Linked DNA regions of Ovis aries. Each later gene encodes a partner of the first gene's protein in a complex. Links are inferred from orthologs where the notes say so. Each region holds a gene or a part of one and is shown in the gene's direction. Other genes may lie near its edges.

Region 1 (10,976 bases):
AGACTCCTTGGCCCCAGGGGCTCCTGGAGGTGCCCTGAGAAGCGGGGCTCCGTCCCTCCGCGCCTGCAGGGACCCCGGGCGGCGCTGGCTTCACTCTGGAGGCCAGTTTCCCATCTTGTCCATCTCCTCCAGAAGCAGGTGCTGGGGGTTGCAAGTGGGTGAATGCGGAGGCTTTGGCGTCTCTGAGCTCTCCTCTCCCTGCTCGGTGTCCCCAGAACGTCCCACCTGTGCCTCCAGAGACAAGCACCCCAAGGCCACATTTCTGAAGCCGCCCCCAGGGGCCCGACCTCCCTGCGGCCTGGTGGGGAGCAGCCCCGGGTGGCCCGAACCCTCCCTCACCTCTGTCCTGGAAACCACGACGAGGGGCCTCGGCACCCCTCCCCCAGGGCCCCAGCATTCCCCAAAGGCTGGGGCTCGGCTTCTTTTCCCCCTCAGCCTGGTGTCCCTGAGGGCAGACAAAGAGAGGGGGGTGGTGATGAGGACAGGCCCCCTCGACACGCCCCCAGCAGGCTGCCCAGCCCCCAGTGAGGCGCCGGCCCGGGCCACCATCCAGAAACCCCCTGATGGCCTGCGGTGTGCTCAGGCCACCATAGGACTGCACCGCCCGGGACAGGGCAGGCCAGCTCAGGGGGCGGCCCTGGAGGGCGCAGGGGAGGAGAGGTCCCTTCAGCAGGAAAAGGCAAAAAAGCAGGAGCCCTACCAGAGCCAGGACTTGTGTGGTGTAGGGTGAGGCTCCCCAGAGCACCCAGGGACACCTGGCATGGCCTAAGGCTCAGGACGAGGGGTAGGCAAGGGTTCCTGGTGTTCATGACCCTCGAGGGGTGAGTCATAATCCCTGACACTGGAGTGCCCTTTGCAGTTGGCTGCCACACACTCTTCAGTTCATCTCATCTTCCAATGGCCACCTTTCCAGGTGAAAACACCAAAGCCCATATTCAAAGTCACAGAGCAAGGCAGGCCGCAGCAGAGACTCCGACTACAGACTTTGCTCCTTCCCTTTGTGAACTGCACAGTCTGCAGGGGGCAGAGGTCCACTGAAAGAAAGGGTGAGCTGATGAATGAATGGAAATTAACCCAGAAAGGAAATCGACACATTTTTGTCATCAACAGGTCTATCAGTGTGCACTCCCAGAAGCCTGGACAGGCCTAACCTTTAAGGCCAATGTCAAAGAGGGTGGGCTGGGGGTGGTCCCCATTGTTACCCCTGGCAACTCCCCTGCCACCTGTGTGTGTTTGTGGGAGGAGGTGTGGATGTGAATGGGAGACAGACTCCCTCCTCTTGGAGATGAGGAAACTGAGTCCCAGGGAGGGGGAGGGACTTGCCTGGAACCACACAGCAAGTGCGCGGCAGTGACGCCTTAGCAACGGGCCCTGGGCTAAGTGAGAGCCAGCCAGATGGAGAAGCGTGTGCTTAGGAGGTTGGGGTCCTGCTCTCGGAGAGACCACCATGGAGGAGGACTTGCGCCCTTCCTGCCCAGCAGGGTGCAGGGGTGGCTGGGGCCTGGGCCCGCAGCCTACAGAGAGGGGAGTTCTCCAGCCCCAGACTCCTGGTGCCCGCAGGCAGAGCGGGGTGGTGGGTGGGTGGGTGTACCTGGCCATCCACAACACCCGCCTCCTCCAGGGTGATCTCTGGCTGGGTCAGCAGCTCCCGGCCATCGTAGCCGCCTATCTTCCAGAGGCGGGACTCCCGCTGAACGACCAGAAGCTTCTTTAGCTCCACCTCCACAAAACCTGAGAGCCAGAGAGAGAAGGGCATGGGACAGGCAGGAGGGGGCAGCTGCAGCCTGCTGGGGATCTGAGGAAGATGAAGTGGCCCCAGCTCCCCAAACCCCACCCTGCCCTGCATGGCCCCTGGTCACCCCCAGTCGGGCCCCTAGAGCCTGCCAGACTCCACCTCTCCACCGCCCAGCCTGTTCCAGGACTCTCACTGGGCTCCCTGCTCCCACCCTGAGTGTGAATCTCTTTACCTGCCTCTCAGGGGACAGTGTTCATTCCAGGGGCAGACATCTGCTCCACCCTGCCCTGCCTCCTCCAGCCATCAACTCCAGCGTTCCAATCCGGAGTAACACAAACCACGGGGGTTCAAGCCCCAGCTCTGCCACTGACCAGTGAGGTGATCGTGGACAAATTACTTAACCCCTCTGGGCCCCAGTGATCTCACAGGGAAGCGGAGACAGTATAACAGGACTGACCCCAGAGTCAGAATGCAGTATTTCATGAAAAGTGCTTAGGAGAGGGTTTGGCCCGTGGTAAGGAAAATGTCAACGGAGACTTTACTGGAGGCTGTCATTCATTACCACTAAGCTGTCTGCTCGCCCCACCAGTGTAGTGAGGTGGCTGCAATGGGAGAGGGGGTCCCCTGGGCACCGTCACAGCAAGTGCACATCTGACAGGAACACTGGGGGTGCAGGGGGCGCCACTGAAGGAGTTAGAGTTCTGGGCTGGGAAAGGGTGCTGCTCGAGGAGCCACGGTCCCGGTCGTAAGCCGCCCCCCACGCCTCAAGCCTCCCCCGCCTCCCCGGCGCACACCCAGCTCCTTCTGCGGACCGGCGCCCGCGGGTCAGCCGGCCGGGGCGATCATTTTAGGTCCTGTGGTTCCCCCTGGTGGTCTTAACTGGTGTCGCATCCGAGAGCGGCTCCATCAAAGCGGGGCTGGGGGCGGGGTGGGGGGGTACGGGCGGCACACCCACCTGCTGTGTCCGTTGACCTGAAGGCCTTATGCAGCGGGGACTGGAGGGTGACGATGCCCGGGACGCAGAGCTTGAGGGCGCTGTCTTCCTCCGCTGCCGCCTCCTCTTCCTCGCCTGGCTCTTCTCGGGGCAGGCCTTCCTTGAGAGGGAACTGAGGCTGGACAGCCACCCCACAGGTGAGGGGGCAGCTGAGCCCGGCCCCCGAGCAGAAAGCAGGAGCGGGTGAGAGGGGCGCGCTCTCCCGCACCCCGCCCCGCCTCCGGCCGGGGCCCCACGGACCTTGGCCATGGCCCCTTTCTGGAGCCGCTTGTATAAGCCGAGGAGGCGGTTCCAGGGAGCTGCCCCCACCTTGGAGGAGGCCAGTCTTGGGTCACCTGTGGAGGGCAGTGGTCACTGGGAGCCCACAGCCAAAGGTGGAGAGATCGTCTCACTTAATCCTTGCTAATGCCCTCTGACAGAGATGCTATCATGCTCCCGTTCTACAGATGATGAAACTGAGATGCACGAAGGCTGAGTGACTTGCCGCCCTCACACCGCCTGCCCCGAGTGGAGCTGGGATCCAGCTCCACTCAGACTGCCCTTCGTCCCCTGCCCCCCCACCCACCCCTGGCCCGATGCCCTGGCTGTCCCCTGGGGCCTGTGGCCACCGCACTCACCATCGACCAGACATTCCTCTTCCCTTGTGAAGGCCTCGGGGCTGAACTCCAGTGGCCCCACGGCCCTCCGCGCGCATCCTGGCTCCACCGCCGAGGCCTGGGCAGAGTGGCCCCTGACCCCAGAGCACAGTCAGATGGGGGCGGCAGGTGGGGCCCGAGAGGTGGTGAAGGTCCCAAACCCCTGCCGAGGCTCTGCTCAGCTCCTCCACCCCCCTGCTCCCCATTGCTCCCTGCTCTGCCCTCTGGGGTCTGCATCACAGAGGGGGATGATCCCCCCAAAAGTAGGGTGAGGGCCGTGAGGAGGGGAGGGGCCCAGCAAGGAGCTGGGAAGTGATGGGAGGCCCAGCTCACCCCACACGCACCCTTCCTAGTCCCTGGCCTGTGCCCTTGGCCTTTTGGTGCCCCTATGCACTACCCCTCACTTGAGGAGGAGCCCTGTCTCTGCCTCCCTCTGCCTCTCCAGGTTCCTCTCCACCCTTGATGTGAACGACCATGCCCACCCAGTCCTCTGCCCACCCGAGGAGTCCGTTCCTGATAGTGAAATTCGCTCAGTTGTGTCCGACTCTACAACCCCATGGACTTTACAGTCTATGGAATTCTCCAGGCCAGCATACCGGAGTGGGTAGCCGTTCCCTTCTCCAGGGGATCTTCCCAACACAGGGATCTAACCCAGGTCTCCCACACTGCAGGTGGATTCTTTACCGGCTGAGCCACAAGGGAAGCCCAAGAAGACTGGAGTGGGTAGCCTATCCCTTCTCCAGCGGATATTTCCGGACCCAGGAATCAGACTGGGGTCTCCTGCCTTGCAGGTGGGTTCTTTAGCAGCTGAGCTACCAGGGAAGCCCCTGGTCCCTCCCCAGTTTCGGGTCCTCAAAGCTCAGGCCCACGTCCCCCTCCCTCCTGACACCCTGGCTTCCCCCAGCTCCTCCATCCTCGGCCCAGCCCCTCACCTTTCTGAGGTCCCCGTATTCCCTGAGGCCTCCCCTGTGGCCGCCTCTTCCCTCTCCTCCAGCTCAGACAAGTGGCCCAGCACCTCCTGGCTTCCTCTGGGCAGGACTGGCTTCACCTCTACGCCCTGAGCCATGACCTCCGCGGGGGGGCAGGTCTGGGCCCCCGGGTCCCCCATCTCCAGCCCCGAGGGGCTGGGCCGCGGCAGGGCCCCAGGGCGGGCGAAGGGCAGCGTGGCGGGAGGCCTGGACTCCCTCCTCCCAGCTTGTCCCTGACGGTCGGGCATCACGGGGACGGCGTCCTGCCCCCCCAGGGGCCACGACCAGCCCCTCCGCAAGGCCTGGCCTGAGCTCTCCCGGCCGCACTTGCTGCCTACCAAGCTCCAGGAAAAGCAGAACATGGGGGAGCGGCCCAAAATTCGGGGCCGAGGGCTTGAAGCAGCGGCCTCCATCCCGAGAGGGTCCCTGACTCAGAGGGAGGGGCCGCAGCAGCCACCGCAGGACCAACTGCTTAAGAACAGAAGGAGGTTTTCAAATTGAAAACCTCCAGTTGGAAACTTCCAGGAGTTCTAGAAGGCAGAAGGGGGGGAGGGGGGATTTGCTGGGTGCAGAGAGGGCAGGGGTTTGACAAGGCCTAGGGAGCCAGCTGGGGTGGGAGGGCTTGAGGGTTTGGGGAGGCCCCAGGAGACAGTGGGGGGGCAGGCAGAGGAGTCCAGAGGAACCCCAGCTCTGAGGATGGGGTGGTGGCCCAGGGCTCTCTCCTCGCTGCCTGTCCTTCCCCTGCAGCCGCTTCTGTCCTTGGGAAGCACTCATTCCCCAGCAGCTGCCCTCCCCCTTCCCTCCCTTCTCAGCATCCAGCTGGCACGGGCCCACTGTGCCCCCCTTTCTGCGTACCTGCCCGGCAGATTCAGGGGGACGTCACATTTCCTCTGTGGAAACCACCAAGGTAGGTGCCTGGTGTGCACGCTGAATCTCAGTTTAGTCTTATTCCTGGAGACCTGATTATAAACCCATCTCAGTGACCTTGGGAGAGGCTCCTTAAACCAGCCGAGTCTCAGTCTGATCCCCTGAAAGATGGGTGTGACCCACTGCACCAGCTTCCCAGGGTTGTTCCAAAGTGCGCTTAGTTTTAAATGTTTTTTATTTATCTGCACTGTGTCTGAGCTGCAGCAAGCGAACTCTTAGTCGCTACGTGTGGGCTCTAGTTCCCTGACCAGGGATCGAACCCAGACCTCCCTGTGTTGGGAGGACAGAGTCTTAGCCACTGGACCACCAAGGAAGTCCATCCAAAGGGCTTTTAAAGTGCCTGGCACAGAGTGGGGCTCAAGGAACCGCCCCATCCTGGCTGTTTTGCTGGCACTGATGGAAGGGAGCAGGGGACAGATCAAGAATTAGGGCTGGGAACCAGGGTGGGGGAAAAGCCGTGGGGGAGGAGGAGGGAAGCCACTTTCTCTTGCAGAGCCCAGACCCGCCTCAGGCCACGGGCTGCGGCTTCGCATCCGGCGGCCACCGAGCGACTTCCTCTAGAGGGAGCTGATGGGAGCCGGGAGCCGCCGGCGCCTCTATGATCGCCGCAGCCCCGTGGGTCCCCCAGAGCCGCCCTGGGACCGGCAGAGGCTGCACTCCAGACATCAGGGATCCACTGACTCCCCTTCCTGGAAGCCAGGCGTGGGGACACAACCCTGGGAACAGCCCCTGACCCCTCAGGATCTCTGGCCTCCGCCCCGCTGGGCCATCTCGGGCCTGGGCCAGGGTCCGGGGAGGTAAGCCGGGAGAGTCTTGCCCATGCCCCCCTCCCTGGGCAGCCCCAGGCCCAGGGTGAGGCAGGGAGCCCCTGGGGAGCCCGCTGGGGAGGGGGACGCCACTGCGAAGCTTGCCTGGGCGGCTCCACCAACCCTCGACGGTGGGCCGATCCAGATCCAGCCAGGGCTCCCTTGGGCTGCCCCTGAGGCGGCGTCCCCTCTTGCCCTGGCCCTGGCTACCCGAGAATCGCGTGCCAAAGAGCCAGGTCCTTTAGCAGTCTGGGGGATGGGAGTGGAGGTCAGAGTCAAGGTCAAGGGCAGCAGGAGACCGTTCACAGTGCTTCCTGCTGCCCCAGGAGTCCTAAGACCAGGTCAGGATCTGCCCCCTCCCCCCCCCCAACTCCAGCAGCATCCTGGGCCTGGCAAACCCAAAAGGTGGGCACAGCGGACTCTCCCCACCAGGAAGTCAGGCCACTTGGATGGGGGCAGAGGAAGTCCCAGGTCAGCTCAGGCCTCTGGCTCTGGGGCGGGTTCCAAGGCTCCACCTCATCCCCAGCCGTGAGCCCCAGGGGTAGTGGGAGAGGGAGTCGAGGTGCAGTTAGCATCCTTCAGCCCTGATGTCCTGGGGGGCACCGCGTTTGGGTACCAAGGGAGGGAGAAAGGCGCCTTGTTTGGGAAGCAGCTTCTAGGATGCCGGGTGCCAGGCTAAGGTCTGTCTTAAGCAGGCGGGGGACCGCGGGCTGCAGGAGGGGCGAGTCCCTTCTCCCTGTCCCTGCCCCCTCGACAGGGAAGGGGTGGGGCGCACAGGTGGGCCCTCCCCACCCTTCTCCTGAGGCCCTTTGGAAAATGGCCCCAGGCCTGGGAGAGGTGGGGTATACAGGCCCTCCCAGGAAGGAGGCGGAACACAGGCCCTCCGGGCGTGTGTTGGGGCCCAGGCTGGGCCCTCCCGAGGGGGAGGAGAGGGGCTTCCGCCTGGGTGATGGAGGCAGCTTTGGGGTGCGGGGAAATGAGGAGGGTGCAAACTGAAAGTGAAACAGCTTACGTCCAGGAAATACTCACTCTGCCCAGGGCTCACTGAGCTGCCGGGGGTTGTGGCCAGAACCCAGCAAAGGAAGAAAACGGGCCGGAGACAGGAGGGCGAGGGGGGCACGTGGTTTCCTCAGCCGCCTGCTAGGCAGGTGGGGCAAGGGCAGAGGCCGCCGCCGGCAACCGGGAAGCAAGCCTGACAGGAGCGCTGAGGAGAGCACGGACGCGTGTGGAAATTCAGTCACCCTGATGGCTTGACCAGCCCTGTGGCCTGGAGCGTTCCCTGAGCCTCAGTTTTCCCACCTGTGCAGTGGGCATGATGGTGCCTGCCCTGCCATGCTACCCCCGCGTCCCACACCTCCTCCCGCATGTGTGAGGAGGACACCACAGGCGCTCGGGATGTGTGTGGCTAACAGGCCCGAGGTGGAAAACAGGTGTGCTCTGACTAGCTGGGGGGAAGTGGGGCCTTCGGGGACGGCCTTCACGGGTCACTGGTTGGAAGGTAGCGAGTCTGTGGTGGATGTGGACCGGATAGGGTGCAGAGGGCCCCAGCGGCAGCAGAAGGAAACTCCGCCTCTGAAACTCACCTCCCCGGCCCAGGAACGGGGTAAGACGTGACTAGACAGCCGCTTGGGCACCACTGTGGCCTCCCCACCCCAGGGCCTGCGCTGGTCCCCGGCGGGGGCAGTCTTGGCTGCCTGGCCTTTCTCAGTCCCAGTCTTTCTTGAAGAGCCGCTAGTGAAGTGATAAGTTCCTGGGTCAGTGGGTCTTTCGGGAGGGGGCCCTCCCCGCCTCCATGGGCCGCCAGAGCCCCTGGCCCCATCTCTGCTTTCCCATCTGCCCCCAACACAATCTGAAGCTGCTTTTCTCCCCAGGACCTGAGGAATGGCTTCGGGACAAGGTCCAGGTCCCCCTGGGCAGGGCTGCGATGAGCCTGAACCCTCCTCCGCATCGGGTAAGGGTCTGTCTGCCCCCTCACCCACCTCATGACCACCGGGGCCAGCTGGGGGGTTGGCGAGAGCAGACCTGGACAGCCCCAGGGGCCCGCCTTAGTTTACCCGCCTTGCGCAAAGGAGAGAGCACCTCCCCACCCAGTGCTGGCAGCCCACCGGCTCAGCAGCTGGGGTGCAGGCAAGACCGAGCCCCAAGAGCAGCGCGGGGAAGGACACGTGGAGGCCGAGGGAGGGGGCGGTGAGCCTGCGGAGGACACCCTGCCCTCCCCGGGCAGCCGGGCGGGATGGGTGAGCAGGAGGGAAGGCATTGGGCGCGGCTGTCTTATCCCAGGCTGGAGAAATAAGGAAGTGAGGCAGCTTATCACCCGATCAGGGCTGCTCAACTGGGAGACGGGCTGTTAGACTCTGGGGAGGAAGGAAGAGAGTGCCCTCATCCAAGGGGACCACCCGGAAGGCTGGCAGCTCTGCCACCCAGCACAGGCTGCTTCCTGGACTTTGGGTTCCGTCTCAGGCCACTCACCATGTCCCAATGTGACTTTCCTGGGCTGCAATTTCAAACTCTGTTTCCCACGTTCCCTAAGCCAAGCCGTACGGCCGGGTGCCTTGGACACGAAAAGCCAGAGAGCCAGGCGCCCGGGAATCTGTCCTGGCCACGCTGTTCACTCCAGCCGCGTGACCTTGCGCAGGTTACGCAAACACCGTGCCTCAGTTTCCCCATCTGTAAGCGGGGTGGTCGCCTCCACGAGGCTGCTGTGAGAAGACAGCTCTACTCAGAGTCAGCCCTAGGTGTCACCCGAGGGCTAGAGGAGGGACAGGTGTGTCCCCCAGCAGAGGGAACCCTCCTCCCCAGAGCACTTCCTCCCTGACTCCCGGCTTTGGTCCCCAGAGGAGCAGGTAGCCCGGGATACCGAGGAGGTCTTCCGCAGCTACGTCTTTTACCGCCATCAGCAGGAGCAGGAGGCCGAGGGGGCGGCTGCGCCTACTGACCCAGAGATGGTCACCTTGCACCCAGAGCCTACCAGGTGAGCTGCGGCCTCCTAGACGTGCTGAGAGAAGCAGAGACTCATGCAGGGTCACCGTGCTGGCCCTGGCAGCTGAGCAAGCCTGGGGGCTTCTTCCGCTGCTGCCCTTTTGCATTTGGGTCACCGCTCCCATCCCAGAACCAGCACCCTTTTCAGCACAGCCTGCCCCTTGTGCCCGGGCCCAGCCCTCTTGTCTGAGCACACAGTCAGGACTTCCCAGGAGCGGCGCCTGAGGCCAGGGCATCTCGGGCAGGAGCGCTTTGCTGCCAGCCCGAGCCCCAACTCACTGGCCGCCTCCTGATCCTCCAGCACCATGGGGCAGGTGGGCCGCCAGCTCGCCGTCATCGGGGATGACATCAACCGGCGCTACGACACAGAGTTCCAGGCCATGCTGCAGCACCTGCAGCCGACGGCAGACAACGCCTACGAGTACTTCACCAAGATCGCGTCCAGGTAGCCCCGGCCACCGCCCCTCCATGGCGCTGTCCCCACCGCGCCAGGCCCTCCCCGTGAAACGGGAGACAGCTTCTCTGCTGGTGTTGGGAGATGTGTTTTCTGTCCCTGCCTCTGCTGTTAACTCACGTGTGGCCTTGGGCCCCTGTCTTTCTCTTCTTAAGCCCAGGCTCCTCATCTTTGTACACAAGGGCACAGCCTTCATGACCCCTGACACCAACATGAGCTGATAGATCAGGACTGTGTGGGGGGCAGGGGGCTCGCAGTGGGGTTGTTCCCAGACATCCCAAGCACTGCTGGGACACAGCTGTCATTCTGATTTGGAGCTACATTTCACACCAAAGATGATTGTTGGACCTGGCTTCAGCCTACCAGGTCCTGAAAATGACTTCCTGATGCTGAGATCTGGCCTCAAGAGACCAGCAGCCTGGGCGAATCCTAGCTTCGCCATTTACTGGCTTCGTGACACATCCTAGCGTTTAGTTTCCTGGTCCATAAACTAGGGGAAATATGCTTAGGATTGCATGCACTCTTAAAGGTGTCAGCCGTTGTCACCATCTGGATTAAGGGAGTCAGTCTCGAGGTAGATTTGAGGCTGAGGGTGAAGGCAGGAGCAGGAGATGGAATCAGTGCTCAGAGCTGAACACCCTGCCTGTGTCCTTAGAGGCCACTGCCCACTCCGCTGTGATTCCAAGACTGTCCTAACCTCCTCTTCTGTCCTTTTCTCTCTGCCGTCCCGGGCTGCCAGGCCAGCAGCAGCGCCCACAGGTAATCTCCCCGCTGCCTCCACCCGCCTGCTCTGCCCTCCACGCTCTGCCTTTGTGTCCCAACAGCAGCGCCCCACTCATCTGCCCTCCAAGCTTTCTCCTTTCACAGGGACGCGGGCTCTTCCCAGATCAAGGCCAGGCTGGGGCAGCCTCTGCCCCACCAGTTCACAGCTAAGCCATTTCTGCTTTCCAGCAGGGAAGGGCTAGGGGTGGGGCAGTCCAAAGGGATGGGAGGGGGAAGGAAGTCAAAGAGCCCCCCAGGGGTCTCCAGCAACGGTGTCTCCCCTGCCTGCAGCCTGTTTGAGAGCGGCATCAACTGGGGCCGCGTGGTGGCTCTGCTGGGCTTCGGCTACCGCCTGGCCCTCCACGTCTACCAGCGCGGCCTGACCGGCTTCCTGGGCCAGGTGACCCGCTTCGTGGCCGACTTCGTGCTGCGTCGCTCCATCGCCCGGTGGATCGCACAGAGGGGTGGCTGGGTGAGTGCCTGAGCATCCGTCAACCCTTCCTGCCACTGGAGCCGCCCCTCCCAGCCCCACCCCAGGCCCTGGGAGCCACCAGCACCCTCCGCCCATGACCCTTCCGTCTCTCCCGGCAGGTGGCAGCCCTGGACTTGGGGAACGCCCCCATCAAGAACGTAGCCATAGTTCTGGCTGTGGTTTTGTTGGGCCAGTTTGTGGTACGAAGATTCTTCAAGTCATGACTCCTGGAGGGGCCCTTTGG
Region 2 (9,674 bases), about 2.5 Mb from region 1:
CTGGGGATAAGAATCGTACCCACTCCCTAGAGTTGCTGGAAGTTCTCAATGAATTAGTGGTGATGAAGCATTTAGAGGTGTACCTGGGAACTGCTAAAAAAATATCAGCTGCAGTTTATTGTGACTATTCGTGTGGTCATGTAGCCCAGCTTGAGAGCAGAGCCTCAGGAGAAATAAAGAGGATAGGAAGACGGGGAGAAGCCTTAGGAGAGAAGCTGAACCGGTGGTGGCTGCCACCTTTATCATTATTATTTTATCATTGGCAGAGCCAAGACTATAATCATGTAATCACTGTCCCTTCTGTGTGTCTGCAGATCCTCTCTCCCTACCTCTCCCATTCTGCCTTCTTTGCTTTTCACAGAGGCTGTGCCTTGAAGGAGAATTGAGAAGGGCCCCTGATCTACCTAGAAGTGGAGGAAGGAGCAGGGAGGGGGGATTTGGGACCAGACGGCCTTGAGACACCTTCCCCTGGAGGCAAGGGTCTCGGCTGTTTTCCTAAACATAGCAAGGCACATCTAGGCCCTTCCTCAGCAGTAAATGAATAAGTGAATATGTTCCCATGGTTTGAATAAGTGAATTAGTAGATGAATATGTTCTTGGGGCTTCCCTGGTAGCTCAGCTAGTAAAGAATTCGCCTGCAATTCAAGAGACCCCGGTTTGATTCCTGGGTCAGGAAGTTCCCCTGGAGAAGGGATAGTCGACCCACTCCAGTATTCTGGGGCTTCCCTGGTGGCTCAGATGGTAGAGAATGCATCTACAGTGTGGGAGACCCTGGGTTCAATCCCTGGGTTGGGAAGGTCCCCTGGAGGAGGGCATGGCAACCCACTCCAGTATTCTTGCCTAGAGAGTCCCCATGGACAGAGGAGCCTGGCGGGCTCTAGTCCATGGGGTCGCAGAGTCGGACACGACTGAGCGACTAAGCACCTGTTCCCACGAAACCAGCTCTGCCCTCAGGCCACCTCTGGGGAATCTGTGTCCCCACCATGGGTTGGGCCAGGAATGACCTCAAATGCAAGCTCATCAGCCCACCCTGGAGGCCTGTGAGAATCACCCAGGGAGCCACTGGGTCTTAGGAAATGAAGACTAACCACAGAAAAGCTTTTCTCAACACTTTAGGAAATGAAGACTAACCACAGAAAAGCTTTACTCAGCACTCAAGTGTGAGCAACCCCTTTGTTCTTTTTTTTTTAGAAGAATTCGTCCAGAAGGTCATTGCCCTACTCCAAGAAGCAGAGGAGCAGTGCAGAGACAAGGTGAGGAAGACGTTCCCCACATAGACCCTGACCTTCACTTTGGACACCGCCCCCCAGCCTGACACTCCCCTGCCCCTCCCCTAGTCCTACATCTTGCCAGAGCCTGGCTCCATCTCCCCTCCTTCCTGGAGCCTCCCCTAATCGCTGCAGGCTGTGCTTGTCTCCCCAGCTCTGAGCATCATCACCCTTCTGCCCTAACCACACCATCTGGCCCACAGTGGGTCTCTGTTTGTTTCTGGAGCTGCTGGTCTCAGCTGACTTGTAAAGTCAGGGGCCCTGACTCAGTTTCCCTTATCTCCCCTGCAGCAACTTCAAGTCCAGGAGCCGGAGGTGGCTGTAGAAAACTTGGCCCCAGCCTGCAGGAAGAAATGCCAAGAGAGAAAGTCAAACTTCAGAAAAGCCTTCTATAAAAAACACAGCTCCAAGGACCCCAAGAGAGCGGGGGCTGCAGGTGCTGCCAGCCCAGACTCCCGGCCACCCAAGAAGCCCAGCTTTCTGCCCCTGTGTGTCGGTGGCCATTGGCCCTCTGTCTCCAGCAACTCTGGTGAGCAGACCCGGGGTTGCCATGGCAACAGAGGCTGCCTCTGGCCCCGTGGCTTCCTCCAGGGCAGGGTTGGCCTGATGTGTGGTGTACCATTCAGTCTTGACTTTCACGCTGAGCAGAGTAGGGCGGTATGGGGGCTCAAGAGGAGAAAGGAGTTGGTTGATGCCAGGATTCACCCCCCACACTCTCCCCCACCCATCATAAACCCCTGAAAACATAGTATGACAGCATCGCCATACATAAATCAGAATCACCTGGAAAGGTGATAGAAAAAGAGAGACTCAGGTTTGATGAAGCAGGACATGTCCTGGGCCTCTGTTTCTTCACTGCACTAAGGTGTGAGGACCACTGGGGTACAACAATCCCCCCAACATTGGCAGAGTGCCCGCTGCATGCTGCGTTCACACATATTATCTCATTTAATCCCCCTCACAACTCTCCCAGCTGACAGATGGAGAAAGTGAGATTCAGACAGACTAAGGGACTCAGCAAAGGCTTGCCAAGTTAAAGGGGAAGGGGGCTCACTTGCTGAGACTTGTTGGCAGGCCTGCTTGCTTTCCTCCCAGATATAAGGAGGCAAGGGGGTAGGTGGAAGAGAGAATGCGATGCCTGGAGGGACAAAGAGCACTGTGAACTCCTCTGAGGCAGGTCCAGTGGGGCTGGGGGTTCCCTGAGGAGCCTGGGAAACCAGGACCCGTCTTAAGCCAGAGTCTTTGGACAGCTTCTTGTCAGAACCTGGGTTCAGTGACCTGCTGGTGGATTTGAGACAGGTGCAAACACATTCACACCAACTCCTCTTTGCCCTCAGATCCGGAGGATCTCGAATTCCAGGGGTCCCCACCCACAGAAGGGGAGCCAGTTGGAGCCCCAGAAGCACCCTTCCAGGCCAGAAGCCACAAGCCAGAAGTGGGACCTCAGCCGGATGGAGCAAATGAATCCAGTTAGTGTCACCCTGCTCTCTCCTGGGACAGCTGCCCCGGGGCTTCCCCTTTGCAGGGCTTTCACAGGCTGAACCCTAGTAGGGAACTGGGAAGGCAGCTTTACAAATATCCCAGGAGACTCTAGAAGGGCAGAGAGGACACAGGGTTGACCTTTGAACTGGGGCAGAGTTGCAGGCGGACAACCTTCTTCAGGTGGAGAATGCCTGTCCGCTCTGTGGGATGTACTTTCACCCCACCGCGTGCCACTGCTTTGCATGAATGTTTCCTGTAAAACTCCTAGCTTGCTCTGGATCTCATAACCATTGGCCTACTGCAAAGAAGCTCCAGTACACCAGGGGCACGGGGTCCAGGGGAAGGTAGCCTTTGCAGATTTCTGAGGTATAAAATTCCCACCTTGGCTGATTTCAAGTTGCCAACAGTGTATAACAAACGGGTCTCCAAATATTCTGAATATTCATAATTAAGTCTTGGTAAGAGCCGCCACCTGCACACCATTGTTTACAACCCAGGCTGATGGTGCAGGCTATTCTGCAGCCTAATAAGGTCTCAGTTTCCCCATCTGTCAAAACGGAGCTGAATGTGGCGGCAGGTGAGGCTCGGCAGGTCCAAGTGCCTTCTTTGTCTATAAAGCAAAACGAAACAAAACCCTCATGCTCCAGCTCTAGTTTAGGGGAAGATTTTCCTTGGTTCTTCATAACTAATCTGTGTGCTGTGTTTTAGAGGCAAAATACTTCTGGGATTGATGGATGGGTTATTGCAGAACTTGTCAACAGTCCCTCAATCCTTCTTTATTTTTCTTAGAGGAGCTGATCATCCAAGAGCTGGTGGCCCTTCTCCAAGAAGTGGATGGCCAGTTGGGAAAGCAGGTGAGGAGTGCTCAGTACCCCCAAGGACTGAACCCAAGTTCAGGCCCCATCTTTGCATCTGGGTGACCGTGGCCTGCCCCATAACTTCCGTGGGCCTCTGTTTTCTCTTTTCCAAAATGGGGGATAAATACCTACTTGCCAACTTTAGTGCTTATATAGAAAATGCCGGACACATAGCATAGGAGATCAATGTTAATTTAAAATAACGTAAAGCTCTGTGTCTCCACTTGCCAACCAGGACTTCCCCCTGTCCAAATCATCCTTGAAGTTCAGCTCAAGGAAGCCTCCTTCCCCAAGTCGCTCTGATCTCGTCCTCTATCTGCCCTTTACTCTGTCTTGGCACACGCTTCAGCAATTATAAGGCCTCTAATTCTTTCAAGCTTTTAGAGTTCCCTCTATTGCTAGATAGCTTGTAACATAAGGTTCCTCGCCTTTGAAAACCTCACAGTCTACTTGGAGAGACAAACACAGATCACATACAAAGAGGCAGGTCATAGATGAGTGATCAGTGTGGTGGTGCTGGTTTAGTCACTGAATCATGTCTGACTTTTGTGAACCGGTGGACTGCAGCCCACCAGGCTCCTCTGTCTATGGGATTATCCCAGCAAGAGTACTGGAGTGGGTTGCCATGCCCTCCTTCAGGGGATCTTCCCGACCCAGAGATCAAACCAGCATTGTAGGTGGGCTCCGGTATTGTAGGTGGTCTCCAGCATTGCAGGCAGATTCTTCACAGCTGAGCCTGTAGCCAGTGCTATTGGTACCTCCTCTGGCACCACAGATCACCTGGCCCAGCTCCCGACTGCCAGCACTTGCATCCTTTTGCCTGAAGACTGGCCTCTCCAGAGCCGTTTACACCCACACAATAGGCCAGCGTGACACTCTCCATCTTGCCAGGAGCAGCCCTCAATCATCGGCTGACATACTCCAGCTCCCTCCCCCCTTGGGGGGATAACTCTGAGGCTTCCAAATTGCCCCAAGGGGATCAGGCTCAGCTGCCAGCCTGAGGGGGCTGCTTCCCATTCTTGCCCCACTGTCTCCACTCCCCCATCCATGTCTGCCCGGATCACTCACCACAGAAGTGAGCTGCATTTGAGTCCTAGTCTTTGGATCTGCTTCTGGGGGAACCCAACCTAAGACATTTAGGTATTAGGAGGAGGAGGCTTAGGGCAGGAACTGAAATTCACCCAACATCCACTTTTCACAAAACATTAAACTATCTCATTAACCCCCTCCCCCCAACAATAGTGTGCTGGAGGAAGGTATTATTACCCCCATTTTACATGTGACAGAGGCTCAGAGAGGTCACACAGCTAGTGAGTGCTGTTTAAGCATCCATTATCTGAATCCAAAGACCTGCATTTTGTCTTTTGTTTTTTTTTCCCACTTTGTTGTGCTGCTTGGAGCTGTACCTTGCAGAGCAGATTCTGAGAGGCCAGGGAAGGTGGAGGAATTTAACAAGGCGTTCTGTCCCAGGGACAGGGAGGCGCCCAGCCTGACTGCGTGGGGTTGATGGAGGAGGGGTGCTGTGGGGAGGAGAGTACCTACCTGCAAGCCACACTGATGGCCTGCCTTCATTTCTGCCTCCAGATCAAGCGACACCCCAGCTTTAAGAAATTTTTCTACGAGCCCTCAGCCTCTTCCCTCAGAAAGCTGGTAGCCACGCTGCGCAACCAAGAGGCCCACACCACTGAGCCCAAGAGAACCTACCCATTTGTCTTTGGCTTGGGAAACCAGGGTCCTGGCAACAATTACCAAACCGCCCTCAGTCTCACAGGCCTACACTACAGGAGCCCCAGTTACAGCCAGTTCCCGAACGAGGAGGCCCAGCAGGTGAGAACCGGCCCCGTGGCACGAGGGGGGACGGACTCAGATCACAAGGACCTGCTTCGTGTCCTCTCCCCTCCCCTGCTTAGTTCAGGACTTCTGGGGTCCAGCTCAAATGCCACCTCCTTGTCCAGGCCTTCTGAGACAATGCTACACCACAGCGGTCTTCATCTTTCCCAGCCTCCCCGCCTTACCTGCTAGTAAGCTAATTAGCATCCTCTTTTATTTGGCTCTGGTCTCCAACAGGAGGGGTATTTTCATACTTCTTGATGTATGGAATACCTGACCGGCTCCTATCTTAGCTTCACCCTCTTGCTGTTTCATGGGTTGTGCTGCTTGGCTTGCCAATTGAGACGATCATAAAATTTAAAGAAAAAAGTACAGTAAGATTACATATCAAATAAGGGATGGTGAGGTAGTTGAGAAGGCTCCCTGGGGCTGTTGGGTTCTGAAAGGCTTCTCAGAGGACATTCTTCAAGGACCTTGCCTTGACTGATTATGAATAGCTTCTCTTCTGCCATCGCTCACTCTTTTGATTGGTTTCAGGCTTTCCCTAATAATCCTCCCTTCCCTGAGACTCTGGGATGGTCCCTGTAGAGAGAAAACTTATTACTGATCTTGTTTCAAATCTGAATTTTCTGGTGGACTCTAAGTTCTCCCCTCCCTTTTCAGATTCACTTAAGATGACCAGCTTACAAACATTCAACCACATCTAAAGTGCAGAAACTACTGAGTGGATTGTGATTTTAAAGCAATGAAACGTTCTATTGCTGTTGGACAAATAGGACCAGAACTTCCAGATCCAAATGGTTCCCTGGGGAACCAGACCTTTATTGCGATGATATCACTCTTACTCAAACTCTTTGTCTCCCCCTGGAATTAACTTTAGAAGCCATGTGATAAGTCTCTCAAGAAAGCAGGCTCTATTTCATGATACTTGTACCTCATCATTTCAGTGGCTTTCCTGGTGGGAAGCCCTTATGACCTTCGACCTCTCTTTTCTCAAACTCACTGTCTTCTGGAGACTAGGGACAATTTGCCCTCTAAGGTGGATTGACTTAGCAGCAGTAGCAGCAGCAAGGTGGATTAGGTAACACTGGATGGAGTGATCTGAGTTCTTTGTGGAAGATATTTTAGAGACATCAGTTCTGACATCCTCAGTAGCCCTAACACTGTATCTTCTGGTTTTGCTAGCCATTCATTTATTCACGCATCCATCCAATCAGTACATATTGAGAGCCTCCTATTAGCCTAGCTGTGTAAGATGCTCTGAGGGCCTGTGAAAGGTTCTAATGGAAAAAGACAGACTGTTTACTGATAATAAAAGTAAATATCAATTAAATGCCAAATTAGCACTAACTGTGGCCAATAAAGCAAGTTGGTTCTGGGAGCCTTCCAGGAGGTAGCAGACATTGATTTTGACCTTTGAGGATGGAGAGGCTGTCGATGGGGAGAAAAGACCAAGAGGACACTGCAGGCAGGAGGTCCTCTATGAGCAAAGACCCAGAGGTGGGAGCTAGTGGGTTAATGAGAAGGCTGTTGTTATCCGGGTGGGACCCATATGTAATTGGACTATGACTAAAATCTGTGTTCTTTTTCTCCTCCCAGAGCATCACAAGTTTTCAGATCCAGAGTCCAGATTGAAAGCTGTGCTTTGCACTCAAGTTCCCTTGAACTATGCAAACATTGGTAGCTTCAGCCAGGAAACCCTGAAAATGCTCCACGTTTTCCCAGTTCAGTGCTTCACAGACATGACTGAGGACGAGAGTGGACAGCCATTCTGTGTCCATGCACCATCGTGGGCTCATTGAGACAGAGAATGAACACGGTGTTCGTCTACAAAACTGGAGGCAAAGGCCATGGGGGAAAATGCACTGGACTGGGAATTAGGAGACCAGGACTCCACCTGCTGACCTACCTCCAAACTTGCTGCAAAACCCTGTACGAGTCCCACGTCCCTTCTCTCCAGACCTTGGATTCTGGGCTGGATTAGTGACCCATCAGACCCTTTCTGGTTGCATTATGCTAAAATATCTCTAAAGAGAGATAGCAAGTGCTTTCACTCTGTGGCTAAATATACCCACCCCACATAGCTGGAGGCAATCTTTAAGTACTGACCAAATGAATGAATGAATGGAACGCCTGAGATTCAGGCAATTCTGCCAGACATTCTCTGGGAGGCCTTGGTCCTCAACTGGAATTGTGAGACCAACGGTTCTCCTCTGAATTGGTAGGTAGAGAGGAAATGGGGGAGTTACCTCAGTAGGCGTTGGTCTAGAGCCTTGGACCAGGAATAAAGGCCTCTGCATTCTGGGGCCAACCTTAGGGCCTAGTACTGACTCATGTGCCCTTGTTTGCTTGTTTATCGTGCGTTTTCTTGGTTCACCAGGGCTAAAAATATGCCCATGCCATGTAGAAGAGCTGCTGATACCTTTTTTCAGATGTTAGTTTTTTAAATAAGTCTCTTGCTTCCCTGATAGCTCAGCTGGTAAAGAATCCGCCTGCAATGTGGGAGACCCCAGTTCAATTTCTGGGTTAGGAAGATCCCCTGGAGTAGGAATAGGCTACCCACTCCAGTATTCACGGGCTTTCCTTGTGACTCAGTTGGTAAAGAACCCGCTGGCAATGCGGAAGACCTGGGTTCAGTCCCTGGGTTGGGAAGATCCCCTGGAGAAGGGAAAGGCTCCACACTCCAGTGTTCTGGCCTGGAGAATTCCAGGGACTGGATAGTCCGTGGGGTTGCAAAGAGTCAGACATGACTGAACAACTTTGACTGACTTTAGTTTTAAAAATACATCTATGCTTAATCTCTGACCTGAACATCCACATGCACGTAACAGATGTGCAGCTACAGGTCTCACACAATCTATTCGGCTTGCCGACAGTACTTAGTGCCCACATGGATCTGTAGAACCTCCCGGGAACCCTGCAACCTCTAGATGGGGCCGCAGCAGGGTGGGGACAGCTGGTCTCTCTTAGGATCCTCTCAGCCCTCTGTCCTGTAATTCTACAGCTGAGAAATGAAGCTGATGCCTTTCAGCTCTGCCATCTCATGTTTTGCTTATTTAGTCGCTAAGTCATGTCTGACTCTTTGCGACCCCGTGGACTGTAGCCTGCCAGGCTCCTCTGTCCATGGGTTTCTCCAGGCAAGAACACTGGAGTGGGTTACCGTTTCCTCCTCCAGGGGATCTTCCTGACCCAGAGATCAAACTTGCGTCTCCTCCCTTGGCAGGCAAATTCTTTACCACTGAGCCACTTGGGAAATCCAAATAATCCATGCAATGATATCTAAAAGTAAATTTGGAAATTGAATGGGGTTCAATCATGGGGATTTGCCAAAAGTCACTAAGAAAATCAACACAAAGAGTTCTGAAATTACATAGTGCTGTGTCTATATAAGTTGCTATTCTTATGATAGCTACAGTCTGGGTAGTTTTCAGGAAATGGGGGAGGGCTTCAAGCTAGATTGCCAGGGATGGTTGAATGAGTGTGCACTGCTCAATAGACCAAACTGCAGGAGACATTGACTTCTGAGACATTGTGGATTTATAGACTTATGATGATGATTTTCCAGCTGATGGCAGAAAAGTATCTTGAGAAATGGGCTTTTTGTTTTTGCACCAAGGCAAAGTTTTGTCTTCTACACAGCACAACAGTTCCAACACATGTCTCTTATCTGCATGAATGCCTGACAGGGCTATGAACGCAGCCCTCTAACACTGCCTAGAGCACGTGGCCATCGGGGAGAGGGTGTTAAAACCTGGATGGCCAACCCATCCTTGTTATCCTTGGTGGACACTGTCTTGCTGTTGTGATGAGCCCCATAGGGTAGAGCTGAGGAGGGGGAGACTTGGGCACTTAGCAGGGACTGGCCTCAAACTTGAGGCAAAGTTTTAGATTCTGAAAGTCATTTAGTGTTATTGCTGCTCCCAAGAAGTGGAGGAGGTTTATTTATTTTATGGATTCATTTTAGGCAGTGTTCAGGAACACAGCACTAAAATGTGAAAGATCGGAATCAGTTTTGAGAAGAGGGTCAGGCACCTTCTGTACAGAGTTTCTTATTTGGAATGATGTTCTTTAAGTTATGTATTTGGTATGAGTTTTTGATGCTGGCATCTGAGTCTCATTTTTGTACTGTGTTATTTGAGCAAATAAAGAAAGTGATTTGCACAGAAGTCTGACTTGCATTGGATTATTCACCACGGAGGCAAGATGGAGCCACTTGCCACGTCTAGGCTAGTCCAGA
Region 3 (11,200 bases), about 2.6 Mb from region 1:
TTCTGCTAGAGATAAGAATGTGGCTGTGATGGTCTTTATGAGAATAAGAAGAGTTCTAGTGTCTCCTTTTCAAATTCAGACTCGGCTCCTCTCTTTTCATTAAGATGTCTCACTCCCACTCTAATCTATGCCTGGTGTCCCCATATTAGAACTCCTTTGGTTTACTTATTCCAGAGGTGACATTTCTTGTTTCACATGATGGTAAAAGTAGTAGTCTGATTATATCAGGTGAAGTCAGGACCTGGGGATCTGATCACTTTCTTAAACATATTTTCAAACAAAGCTCTCTTTCCAGGGCTACAGTCCTTCCATCTCCACTCCTCTAACTTCCTTCTGTGTTTTACCTGCTTCCAATTCTGGAGTCTTTGCAGGGTTCCTCCTGGTGAGGTACCTTGTTTCTCCGTGGTTTCTCCTTCACCACTGAGATTTGACCTTTCTTGGGTCTTCTAAGTCCTTTGCCACCCTCCAACCATTTTCCATTTTCATGTGCTATAGTTTAGGGTGATTATCAACTCTAAATAAAGATGAAATTTGAGGGTGGTTTTTTTTTTTTTTTTTGCTCTCATTATTTTTGAGAGAAGTGGTATGGGAAAGGTCTCACTACCTTGAATTGAAAACTCTTCACTTCTTATTTTTAGTTCTTCAAATGCCTTGAATACGTTACCGCTGCTGGTCTTTTACATCTGGTGTTCTAGCTGTCTGAGGTATTCTTTTTCTCCCCCTCATCTTCCCTCCTGGCCAATTCCAAGTCATCTTTTAGGTCCCAGTTAAACATCATTCATAGATGAATCCTTCCTGGCCATCCAGACTAGGTTAAGTACACTCCCTATGGTAGATTTACATAACACCTGCCATGACTCTAAAGTACATGCCTAACTCCTCTGCTAACCTCCACAAGGGAAGGGACTATTTCTGTCTTGTTGGCTGCTAGTGTCTGGTGTAATGCTTAGCATTCAGTAGGGGATCGGTATGTTTTTCTTACTGTTGATAACATATATTGCTCATTATAAAGATTTGTAGCTTAATTTACAGTTGCTGCTACCAATAAGTAGTTATTTTTAATTCAACAATCCTCATTATTATAATAGTCCAGCTATTAATATGAAAACACCATAATATGGACTCTTGTGTTTATTGTACAATGAACATTCTTTAAATTATCATGTGGGCTTCCCTGGTAGGTCAGATGGTAAAGAATCTGCCTGCAGTGTGGGATACCTGGGTTCAGCCCCTGGGTTGGAAAGATTCTCTGGAGAAGGGAATGGTGACCCACTCCAGTATTTTTTTGCCTGAAGAATCCCACGGACAGAGGAGCCTGGGGAGCTACATTCCATGGGATCGAAAAGAGTCAGACACAACTGAGTGACTAACACACGCAAATTGTGTGCTGGCAGTAACATAATATGCCCTCAAATCAGCGTACTGTATAGGTTTTCTATTCCTACTGTTTCAAATGACCACAGATTGGATGGCCTAAAACAACACAAATTTATTATTTCATGGTTTTGGAGGTAGAAAACCTAAAATGGGTTGTCAAGGCTGCATTCCTTCTGGCGGCTCTAGGAGGGAATCAGTTTCCTCGCCTTTTTCAGCTTCTAGAGGCTGCCTGCACTCCTTCGCATATCACTCTGACCTCTGCGTCCACTGTTACATCTCCTTCTCTGACTCTCTCGCCTCCCTCTTATAAAGACCCATACGATTAGTTCAGGTTCACATAACCCAGAATAATTTCTGCTTTTCAATAGCTTTAACCACATCTGCAAAGTCCATTTTGCTGTATAAAGGAAAACGTTCACTGGTTCTGGGAAGACGTGGACATCTTTGGGGGGACCATTTATTCAGCCTACCACACAGAGACAACAAAATATGAACCCACAGATGAATTAGTTGCTGCAGGAAATGATAAAAAACTTGACTCACATACATTTAAAACATTAAATTAGAACAACCTCCAAAGTAGATAAATAAATGAAAAATATCATTACTACGCCTTAAAATAATAAGATACCTAATGTAAACCAATGATTATTAAGTAGACAACATATATCAGCTCAATAATTACTTAGACTTCCATATACCTCCCATGACTATGCTTTTCAGAATCTTCGGATTTCCTCAAGTTTTCAGGTAGTCACAGCATTTTGTAAAGGCAATTATACTAACAACTATGTTAGTATAGTTGTTACTAACAAGAGTTTAGTGTTTTTCTTAGATATATTTAAAAATAAATTTTAGATGAAAAATGTAGCTGGTGCTTTGTAGTCACCAGTTCTGCATCCTTGGAGCTCAGTTGTAAAGAATCTGCTGCAATGAAGGAGACCTGGGTTTAATTCTTGGGTCAGGAAGATTTCCTGGAGAAGGAAATGACAACCCACTCCAGTATGCTTGCCTGGAGAATCCCATGGACAGAGGAGCCTGGCAGACTACAGTCCATGGGGTCATAAGAGTCAGACACGACTTAGGAACTAAACCACTTCCACCACCAGATAGAAAATATTCAGAAAAGAAAATTCCAGAAAGTTTCAAAAAGAAAAAACTTGGAATTTGTTGTGGGCCAGCAATTATTTACATAGCATTTACATTATATTTACAACTATATACATGGTATTTACACTGTATTAGGTATTATAAGTAGTCTAGAGATGCGGGCATAGCAACCCACTCCTATATTCTTGCCTGGAGAATTCCAGGGATAGGGGAGCCTTGTGGGCTACACTCCATGGTGTTGCAAAGAGTCGGACACAACTGAGCAACTAACACTTCATTTCAGAGATAATTTAAAGTATATGGGAGTGGAGAAGGCAATGGCATCCCACTCAAGTACTGTTGCCTGGAAAATCCCATGGACGGAGGAGCCTGGTATGCTGCAATCCATGGGGTCGCTAAGAGTCAGACACGACTTCACTTTCACTTTTCACTTTCATTTGAGAAGGAAATGGCAACCCACTCCAGTGTTCTTGCCTGGAGAATCCCAGGGACAGGGGAGCCTGATGGGCTGCTGTCTATGGGGTTGCACAGAGTCGGACATGACTGAAGCGACTTAGCAGCAGCAGCAGCAGCAAGTAGTAGAGAGTCTCATTTTGATACTAGACAGGCTATTGCCATCTATAAATAAAGGATAAAGGAAACACACCTAAAGAAGCAAAGTTTTACATAGCAAACATGCAGTGGATAAAGGGAAATCAGCAAATATAATCTAATGAGACTTTTGGAAAACTAGGTTCGATATAAAAGAGATGCTGAAATTACAGAACTAGGAAATATGAAACAAAAGCTTAGAGACAAGCAGATATTTCTAGATAAGAAAGTATAAAAGAGTGTCCTGATAGTGTAAAACACTCCTCTTAACAGGTTGTTACAAATTATTTTGAAGAATATGTAGTAAAACCTCCAGAACTACAGGTAAAACTAAAGATTCCTGAATTGTAAAATGTTAGGTTGATTAGATTAATTATAGATAACAATGGTAAGGCTGAATCAGTGGTAATACATGCTATATACACATTTCAGTATAAAATTCTGGAAAACATTCAAAATAAAAACATGATCCAAAAAAAAAAAATAAAGTATATGGGAGGATGTGCATAGGTTATATGCAAATACTATGCCATGTTATATAAGGTACTTGAATATCTGTGGATGTAATATCCAAAGGGGATCCTAGAATCAATCCTCCATGGATACCAAAAGATGGCTGTATAATTAGCACTGATTATGTTTCAATAAATATAACATCCTGCAGAATTACTTGGGAATAATTATAATAAAAACCTATTTGGGGAAAATGAAGTCTAATATGCTCAATTATTTACTTTAACAGGCCATAATTAGATACTTTATTCTCAATTATCTAGCAATGTCATGTGAACAACCAGTACAAAATGACAGTTTCACAATGAGCTGGTGGGTAACACTGTCAGCTGGCTCTTTCAGACAAGACTGTCACCCCAAAACTATATCTTGATTGTCAATTTTGCTCATTTAGCAATTTAATAATTATACCCAGGTTCTGATCTGGCTCTGAGGCATTAGCTGGAGAGGATGTCCTTTTCCCAATGGAAAGTTAACTTGAGAAATCAAATAAAGGTTAGAAGATTGCCTGATGAGAACAGTTAAAATGTCAGGCAGCCTAAGGCATCAAAAATGACCAGGCATACACTACACTTCATCCCACAGCTCCCACACCCCAAATCTGGCCCAAATTACAATAATCAAAATTTGTAATAGCATCCTACACTGGAAAATGTCATACATGATAATGATGAGATCAGAATTTTACCTGATGGCATTGTTGTATGGCAGAAACCAATACACCATTGTAAAGCAATTATCCTCTAATTTTAAAAAATGAGAATTTTACCTGATGATATCCCCCAACTTAGTTTTTCTAGCTGAGATTGCTGCTTACTGTCGGTCTCTCAAAGCCATTTCTTTTCAGTTCTTGCTTCTTCCTCTAAAGCTGCAATACAGCTTTATCATATTTATTGTCCAATACAGTAGCCACTGGCCAAATGTAGCTACTGAGCACCCAAAGTGTGGCTAATTTAAACTGAGATGCACTGTAAAATATATACCAGGTTTTGAAGACGTACACTAATGAGAATATAAAATATTTCATTAAGTTTTATATTGACTACCTGTGGAAATGATAACACTGAAATTTATTTAGGGATACATTTGGTTAAATAAAACATATCATTAAAATTCATTTTACCTATTCCCTTTCACTTTTTAATGTATCTACTAGAAAACTTAATGTTACATATGTCTTTCACATATTTTTATTGGACAGTACTGATGCAATGCTTCAGAAGGCCTCCTCTGCTACCTTTAGTTGTTTTTTTATGGTTTGACCTCTCAGTCATTCTTTGATTTTCTGTTAACTGCTTAGATTTAGAAGGTAAAATAGCAAGTCAAACTCTGTGGCCAACCTTTAAGATAAGATAAGTAAGTACACTGATAGACAATGAGAATCATCCATTCTTCAACTTACTGGATTGGTGCTTTCCTGCTGCTGCTGCTGCTAAGTCACTTCAGTCGTGTCCGACTCTGCGTGACCCCATAGACAGCAGCCCACCAGGCTCCCCCGTCCCTGAGATTTTCCAGGCAAGAGTACTGGAGTGGGGGTGCCATCGCCTTCTCCAATTGTGGTTTAATATTAGAAGAAAAGGGAGGAGTGTGCAAAGAATAGCCTTCATTGGCATCTGCAGAGATGGACTGTGTGTATATGGAGTATTAAAGAGGGAATGCAAGAGCCATTCTGGGGAGGAAATACACACACACACACACCCTGCAGTAGGAAGAAGAATATATTCCATCTCCAATCTTCCCCACTTGTCTAGGTTTTTTAAACCTATTTTTCTTTTGGCTATACTATTAATAATTTGTCTCTCTTCTATGTGTACTAATTTAAGACTGTTCCCTGGATGGAATGTAACTATTAAGATGATGAGAAAGTGCTGGGAGATGAGGATACAGGGTAATGTATCAGATCTAAAGACCAAACAACATAGATGTTTACTTCAGTTGAAAAAGAACTTACAGATCACCCTGTTCCATCTTCCTTCCAAATGCAAAATCTTTTTATATATGGAATAAAAGCTGTTTGTGTTAAAATATTAGTATTCATTTATCATACCAAATATATACTGAGAAATGGGAGAAATCCTCTGAAAATATTTTTAACAGGAAAAACACATGAAGAAGAAAAAACATGATGCCATTGTTTATGAACCTAAAGAACTTCTGAATCCCTCTCCCAGTGTAACAAATTGTTGCAAATCACTGTGGGTGAAATACAGTTTTCAGAATGTTTACATGACCCAACTTGTCAGCTCCCAGCCAGTTTCAGCCATGTCAAGGAACCCAGGTAAGATATTATTTGTATTAAACTAAGTTAAATATTCTATTTAGCTTGTATTTTTCCTGGTACTGAAGATATAAAATTGGGCACTGGAGTATTTAAACATTAAGAAGTAGTGTAAATCTATTCAAGGAAGTTCTTACATAGTAAAAATCTAAAACTGACTTTGCTTCATGGTATAAACCTCCTAGTTTCTTTTAGCTCTGAATCACTGATGTGACAACTAATTAAGATGATCCCAAATTCACTAAAATAGATCAAATTCATCTTTTAATAAAAAAATATACCTTTAAACTTGACCTGAAAATGTCTGCATTGTTGAGGTAGGGAAAATTCAGTGTAGGTTCCTTCTTGATATTGTCAATATAGGAAAGAACATGAGGGAAAGATAAACTTGAAATTTTGTTTTTCAAAAATGTATGATTCCTAAATGTCCCAAAATGTTGGAAAATTAAAGTGCTGTGTTTGAAAAAGCATTAAAGAATGTTAGAGTTAAATGCATGTGGTTTTAGACTTTTAGATTAAAAACATGCTAGACACCTGAAAGGATTTAAATTAATCTCAAACTATTTTCCACTTTAAAAGAAATACATGCCCCTAAGAAAGCGGAAATTTCAAGCATCCTAATGAGACCCTGGCCGCCACATCAAATATGATATCCATTTTCTAAAAAGAACTCAACTGACCAAAATTTTGAATTTTCATCTGGACAGGTGTCAACAATGATATCTCCAAACCCGAGACTGTGTCACCTATGATTACCTTATAGAACATACATTTCGCTTTTCTAAGTTGAGATGTAACTCGTACCATAAAGTTCACACTTCTAAAGCACACAGTTCAGAAGCTTTTAGTATATTCACAAAGCCGTGCACTATTCTAGAACTTGTCTTTTACTGCAAGACTTTTCCAATGTTTTCACACTCACTGTATTACTTAATCCTCACCGATCCTTATGAAACTGAGGTGCACTGTGGGCGGTTGCCACATTTACCCCAAAACCTTTCCTAATTAGTTTCACCTCAAAAAAAGCAGAAGGGTGAAGAATTACTAATGCTACTAAGTTACAGTGACAGCCAACAGCCTAATCTGCATATATATATATATATATATATTTTTTTTTTTTTTTGCATAGAGTCCTCATTTTACTACGTATGTAAAATCTTTGTGTCTGGCATTTTTGTCTGGTGCGCCGACAGTGCAAGCCTCGGCCGTCGGTTGCCGCCCAGTCAGAGGCGGTAGCGGCCAGAAGCCGCGCCCCACCCCCACTCCCATTTCCTTCCCTCACAGGCTCAGCGAGAAGCGTCGTGTTTCTCCTCTTTTACCGCTGAAGGAATGGGGACGCGCCGACTGAAGGGGGCAGTGTGAGGGACACTGAGTTGTTATGACGTCGAGAACGCTAAAGCCAGGGTCACTGGAGGGGCCTGGTGGTATACCCCGAATACCTAGTCTCCCTCCCCCTCAATCGGATTTGAAGCAGGTAGCGAACAAGTTCGCCTGGAAAATCCCATGGACGGAGGAGCCTGGTAGACTGCAGTCCATGGGGTCGCGAAGAGTCGGACATGACTGAGCGATTTCACTTTCACTTTCAAGCACTGGAGAAGGAAATGGCAACCCACTCCAGTGTTCTTGCCTGGAGGATCCCAGGGACGGGGGAGCCTGGTGGGCTGCCGTCTGTGGGGTCGCACAGAGTCGGACACCCCTGACACGACTTAGTAGTAGCAACGCACAAGGGGCGCCAGCCCCCGGCGCCGGAGACCCCCTCTGGGCACACCCCGCCGTGTGCACTTCCCATTGGTCACAGCCGCTCACGTGACCTCTACTGCCAGCCCCGCCCCAAGGGTTTTTCCGGCCGACAACGGGGTCTAGGCAGTGCGTCTGAGGAGAACCCTGAACGCGTAGTCGTCCAGGTGTGGTTGGTCCCGTGGAGGACCCTGGGAAGCTCTCCTGCTGGGCACCTGATTGGATGGATGGACGGATGACAAAGATAGATTAGATAGGTTAGATAAATTAGATAGAGCGAACTCTTAATGAGGAAGCTGATTGAGAAGATCCCTTTCTCCTCTTAGTGCTTTTGTCCCAGGCTGCAATACAGACTGAAAATGAAAATCACAAGCCATTGTTGGCTGGAAAGTGACCGGTTAAAGCCCAAACTTATCTGTTACTTTGGGGGTATTCTCTTGATGAAAGTGAAAAGGAGAGTGAAAAAGCTGGCTTAAAACTCAACATTCAGAAAACTAAGATCATGGCATCTGATCCCATTACTTCATGGCAGATAGATAGGGAAACAATGGAAACAGTGACAGACTATTTTCTTGGGCTCCAAAATCACTGCGTATGGTGACTGCAGCTATGAAAGTAAAAGACGCTTGCTCCTTGGAAGAAAAGCTATGACTAACCTAGACAGCATATCAAAAAGCAGAGATGTTATTTTGCTGACAAAAGTCTGTCTAGTCAAAGCTACGGTATGGATGTGAGAGTTGGACTATAAAGAAAGCTGAGCACCGAAGATTTGATGCTTTTGAACTGTGGTGTTGGAGAAGATTCTTGAGAGTCCCTTGGATTGCAAGGAGATCAAACCAGTCAATCCTAAAGGAAATCAGTCCTGAATAGTCATTGGGAGGACTGATGCTGCAACTCCAATACTTTGGCCACCTGATGCGAAGAACTGACTCCTTGGAAAACACCCTGATTCTGGGAAAGATTGAAGGCAGGAGGAGAAGGGGACGAGAGAGGATGCGATGGTTGGATGGCATCACTGACTGGATGGACATGAGTTTGGGCAAGCTCCAGGAGTTGGTGATGGACAGGGAAGCCTGGCCATGCTGCAGTCCATAGGCTCACAAAGAACTAGACACTACTGAGCAACTGAACTGAACACTAGCCATATGAACATATCTGTTTGGTGCTGGGGGAGGAGGAACCCGTAGTATTTGTATGGAGAATGTGTGTGTGTGCACACGCATACACCTGTGCTCAGTCGTGTCCAACTCTTTGTGACCCCGACTATAGTCCACCATGCTCCTCTGTCCATGGGGTTTTTCCAGGCAATAATACTGGAATAGGTAGGTTGCCATTTCTTCCTTTAGGGGATCTTCCCAGCCCAGGGATCGAACCTGCATCTCTTGGGTCTCCTGCATTGTCAGGATTCTTTATCAGTAGCACCACCTGGGAAGCCCATGTACAGCTAAAAGACACTTAGAAAAGTTGAGGAGGTGCATAGGATTTGGAGAAGTCCAGAGCAACCGTCCTGATACATCGTTTAAGATAAATTAGACACTCTTGGGAAAACAAAAATGATTAAAAGTGGAAAGAGGCCCTGCCCACTTCTAAAAATGTAAAAAGTATTGATAGGAAAAGTGTGTGCGCTCAGTCATGTCCGACTCTTTGTGACCTGTGGACTACAGCTGGCCGGGTTTCTCTGTCCATAGGATTTTCCAGGCAAGAATACTGGAGTGGGTTGCCATTTCCTTCTCTATTGATAGGAAAGGGCAGACATATATACACACACATAGAAAAATTTCCTGGCATCCAACAGGACTCTGCACTTCCCAATGCAAGAAGCCCGGGTTCAATCTCTGGTCGGAGAACTGAGATCTCACAAGGTGTGGGGTGTGGCCGAAAAAGAGTCTGTCAGCAATGAAAGAGACCCAGGTTCAACCCCTGGGTCAGGAAGATTCTCCAGAGAAGGGAATGGCAACCCACTTCAGTATTCTTGCCTGGAGAATACCATGGACAGAAGAGCCCGGTGATCTAAAGTCCATGGGGTCACAAAGAGTTGGACACAACTGAGCAACTAACACAGAGACACTCATAGATATATAGGTAGTGTAAATGGGATATATTAATTGTAGAAGTCAGAAGAGCGTCCAGTTTTCAGCTTTTCTGCTTCTGAGAGTGCTTGTATTGCAGAAAGGGGTGCCCCCAGGGTCCCCCTTCCGGCAACACTCGGGTGTTCATTTTCTATATATATATATCTTTTACTCTCTAGTTGTGGTGCATGGGCTTCCGGTCGCAGTGCCTGCTTCTTGTTGCCAAGCATGGGCTCCAGGGCACAAGGGCTCAGTAGTTGTGGTGCATGGGCTTAGTTGCTCCATGGCATGTCGGATCTTAGTTCCCAGACCAGGGGTCAACCCTGGACCCCTGCACTGGCGGACAGATTCTTAACCACTGGACCACCAGGAAAGTCCCTTGGATGCTCATTTATGCTTTTTTATTTTTTTGGTGCTCTTAAGGCTCACCATCTCTCTCTTTCCTCCTCTAGATGGACACATTGACTTTTTAAATTCATTTTAAAAAATACTAGGGCCAACTGTACTTTAGGCACTGCAATACATACTTGGGTGACAATAATAAACAAAAACAGCAACAGCCCCTTCCTTCCTGGCACAGATGGTCAGGTAAAGAAGGCAGACAGCAGTCAATCACATATACCAATGTTAAATGTAATATGATAGGGTGCTAAGAGGTCCAGATGCTATAATGGGGCTTTGGCCTAGGAGGGAGGTTAGAGAAGGCTTCCCTGGAGACGTAACTCTGGACTGAGACCTGAGGGGGTTAAGGAGGGTGCAAGTTGCAGGCAGAGGGAATGGCTTGGGCAAGGGAGAGCTAGTAGCCTTTCCCCTTCGATGACTGCTCATCTCACCCATTTCCACTAAACATACACTGATCTTGCCTCTAAGTTCTCAGAAAATACTCTTTTAATTCTAAGTTCTTAGGGAGTAATGGTGACCCATAATTACTGACATAGACAATGTGTATCCAATAGGTAAGTATGCTGATACACACATCTCATATGCAGTATCATCTCTGTTATTTTGGGCTTCTCAGATGGCGCTAGTGGTAAAGAACACACCTGCCAATGTAGGAGACTCAAGAGATGTGGGTTTGATCCCTGGGTCAGGAAGATCCCCTGGAGGAGGAAATGGCAACCCACTCCAGTATCCACAACTGGAAAATCCCATGGACAGAGGAGCCCAGCAGGTTACAGTCCATGGGGTCAAAAAGAGTTGGACATGACTGAGCACACACGCATTTGCCACGCTGCAAGTGTTTCACCAGTAATTGTTCAGATATGCACGAAATACAAATAGTTGTTATGCTGAGTTCCAGAATACAAAACACACTTCTTGCTTTGAGCACAATCTTCTGTTGTGTTCTATCTCTAGGTCCTTCCTTCTCTGCCCCTTTGTCTACCCAGCTGAAATACCCAAGGCTTGTTAGCATTCTTATAGCTCCATTTCTCCCAGCGTCCATTACTGGAACTTACCCAACTTGTATTCCATCTTCATACTGAAGATACTAGATTTTGTACTTCCCAGATGACAGTCAGTTAAA

Evidence for each region.
Region 2: the proteins of BAK1 (region 1) and BNIP5 are in contact, whole or in part, in a crystal structure (PDB 8IGC), measured with the Homo sapiens proteins. The link is inferred for Ovis aries from reciprocal best matches to the Homo sapiens genes BAK1 and BNIP5. Residues at the interface, in NP_001179.1 of Homo sapiens: Leu78, Ile81, Gly82, Ile85, Tyr89, Glu92, Phe93, Met96, His99, Leu100, Tyr110, Lys113, Ile114, Ser117, Leu118, Ser121, Asn124, Trp125, Gly126, Arg127, Val129, Ala130, Phe134, Ala180, Leu183; in NP_001010903.3 of Homo sapiens: Ile246, Ile247, Gln248, Met249, Ile250, Val251, Leu253, Leu254, Lys255, Arg256, Val257, Gly258, Asp259, Gln260, Trp261, Glu262, Glu264, Gln265, Ser266.
Region 3: the proteins of BAK1 (region 1) and PXT1 are in contact, whole or in part, in a crystal structure (PDB 8GSV), measured with the Homo sapiens proteins. The link is inferred for Ovis aries from reciprocal best matches to the Homo sapiens genes BAK1 and PXT1. Residues at the interface, in NP_001179.1 of Homo sapiens: Ile81, Gly82, Asp84, Ile85, Asn86, Arg88, Tyr89, Glu92, Phe93, Met96, Leu97, His99, Leu100, Tyr110, Lys113, Ile114, Ser117, Leu118, Glu120, Ser121, Asn124, Trp125, Gly126, Arg127, Val129, Ala130, Phe134, Asn182; in NP_694535.2 of Homo sapiens: Ile78, Ile79, His80, Lys81, Leu82, Ala83, Met84, Gln85, Leu86, Arg87, His88, Ile89, Gly90, Asp91, Asn92, Ile93, Asp94, Arg96, Met97.

The regions. Positions count from the first base shown.
Region 1 is NC_056073.1:7,860,317-7,871,292, reverse strand, and holds the start of BAK1 (bcl-2 homologous antagonist/killer), read left to right. Parts: upstream 1-5,885; 5' UTR 5,886-6,056; intron 6,057-7,092; exon of another isoform or gene 7,093-7,668; intron 7,669-7,936; 5' UTR 7,937-7,946; coding exon 7,947-8,016; intron 8,017-8,900; coding exon 8,901-9,036; intron 9,037-9,345; coding exon 9,346-9,489; intron 9,490-10,551; coding exon 10,552-10,732; intron 10,733-10,851; coding exon 10,852-10,956; 3' UTR 10,957-10,976. Other genes in the region: gametogenetin-binding protein 1-like, read right to left, coding at 1-231, 340-445, 1,592-1,731, 2,691-2,847, 2,970-3,064, 3,347-3,459, 4,297-4,745. UniProt on the Homo sapiens protein: Plays a role in the mitochondrial apoptotic process. Upon arrival of cell death signals, promotes mitochondrial outer membrane (MOM) permeabilization by oligomerizing to form pores within the MOM.
Region 2 is NC_056073.1:10,354,440-10,364,113, reverse strand, and holds the end of BNIP5 (protein BNIP5), read left to right. Parts: intron 1-1,191; coding exon 1,192-1,253; intron 1,254-1,559; coding exon 1,560-1,797; intron 1,798-2,605; coding exon 2,606-2,737; intron 2,738-3,539; coding exon 3,540-3,604; intron 3,605-5,191; coding exon 5,192-5,434; intron 5,435-7,036; coding exon 7,037-7,072; 3' UTR 7,073-9,603; downstream 9,604-9,674.
Region 3 is NC_056073.1:10,454,369-10,465,568, reverse strand, and holds the start of PXT1 (peroxisomal testis-specific protein 1), read left to right. Parts: upstream 1-5,697; coding exon 5,698-5,869; intron 5,870-11,200.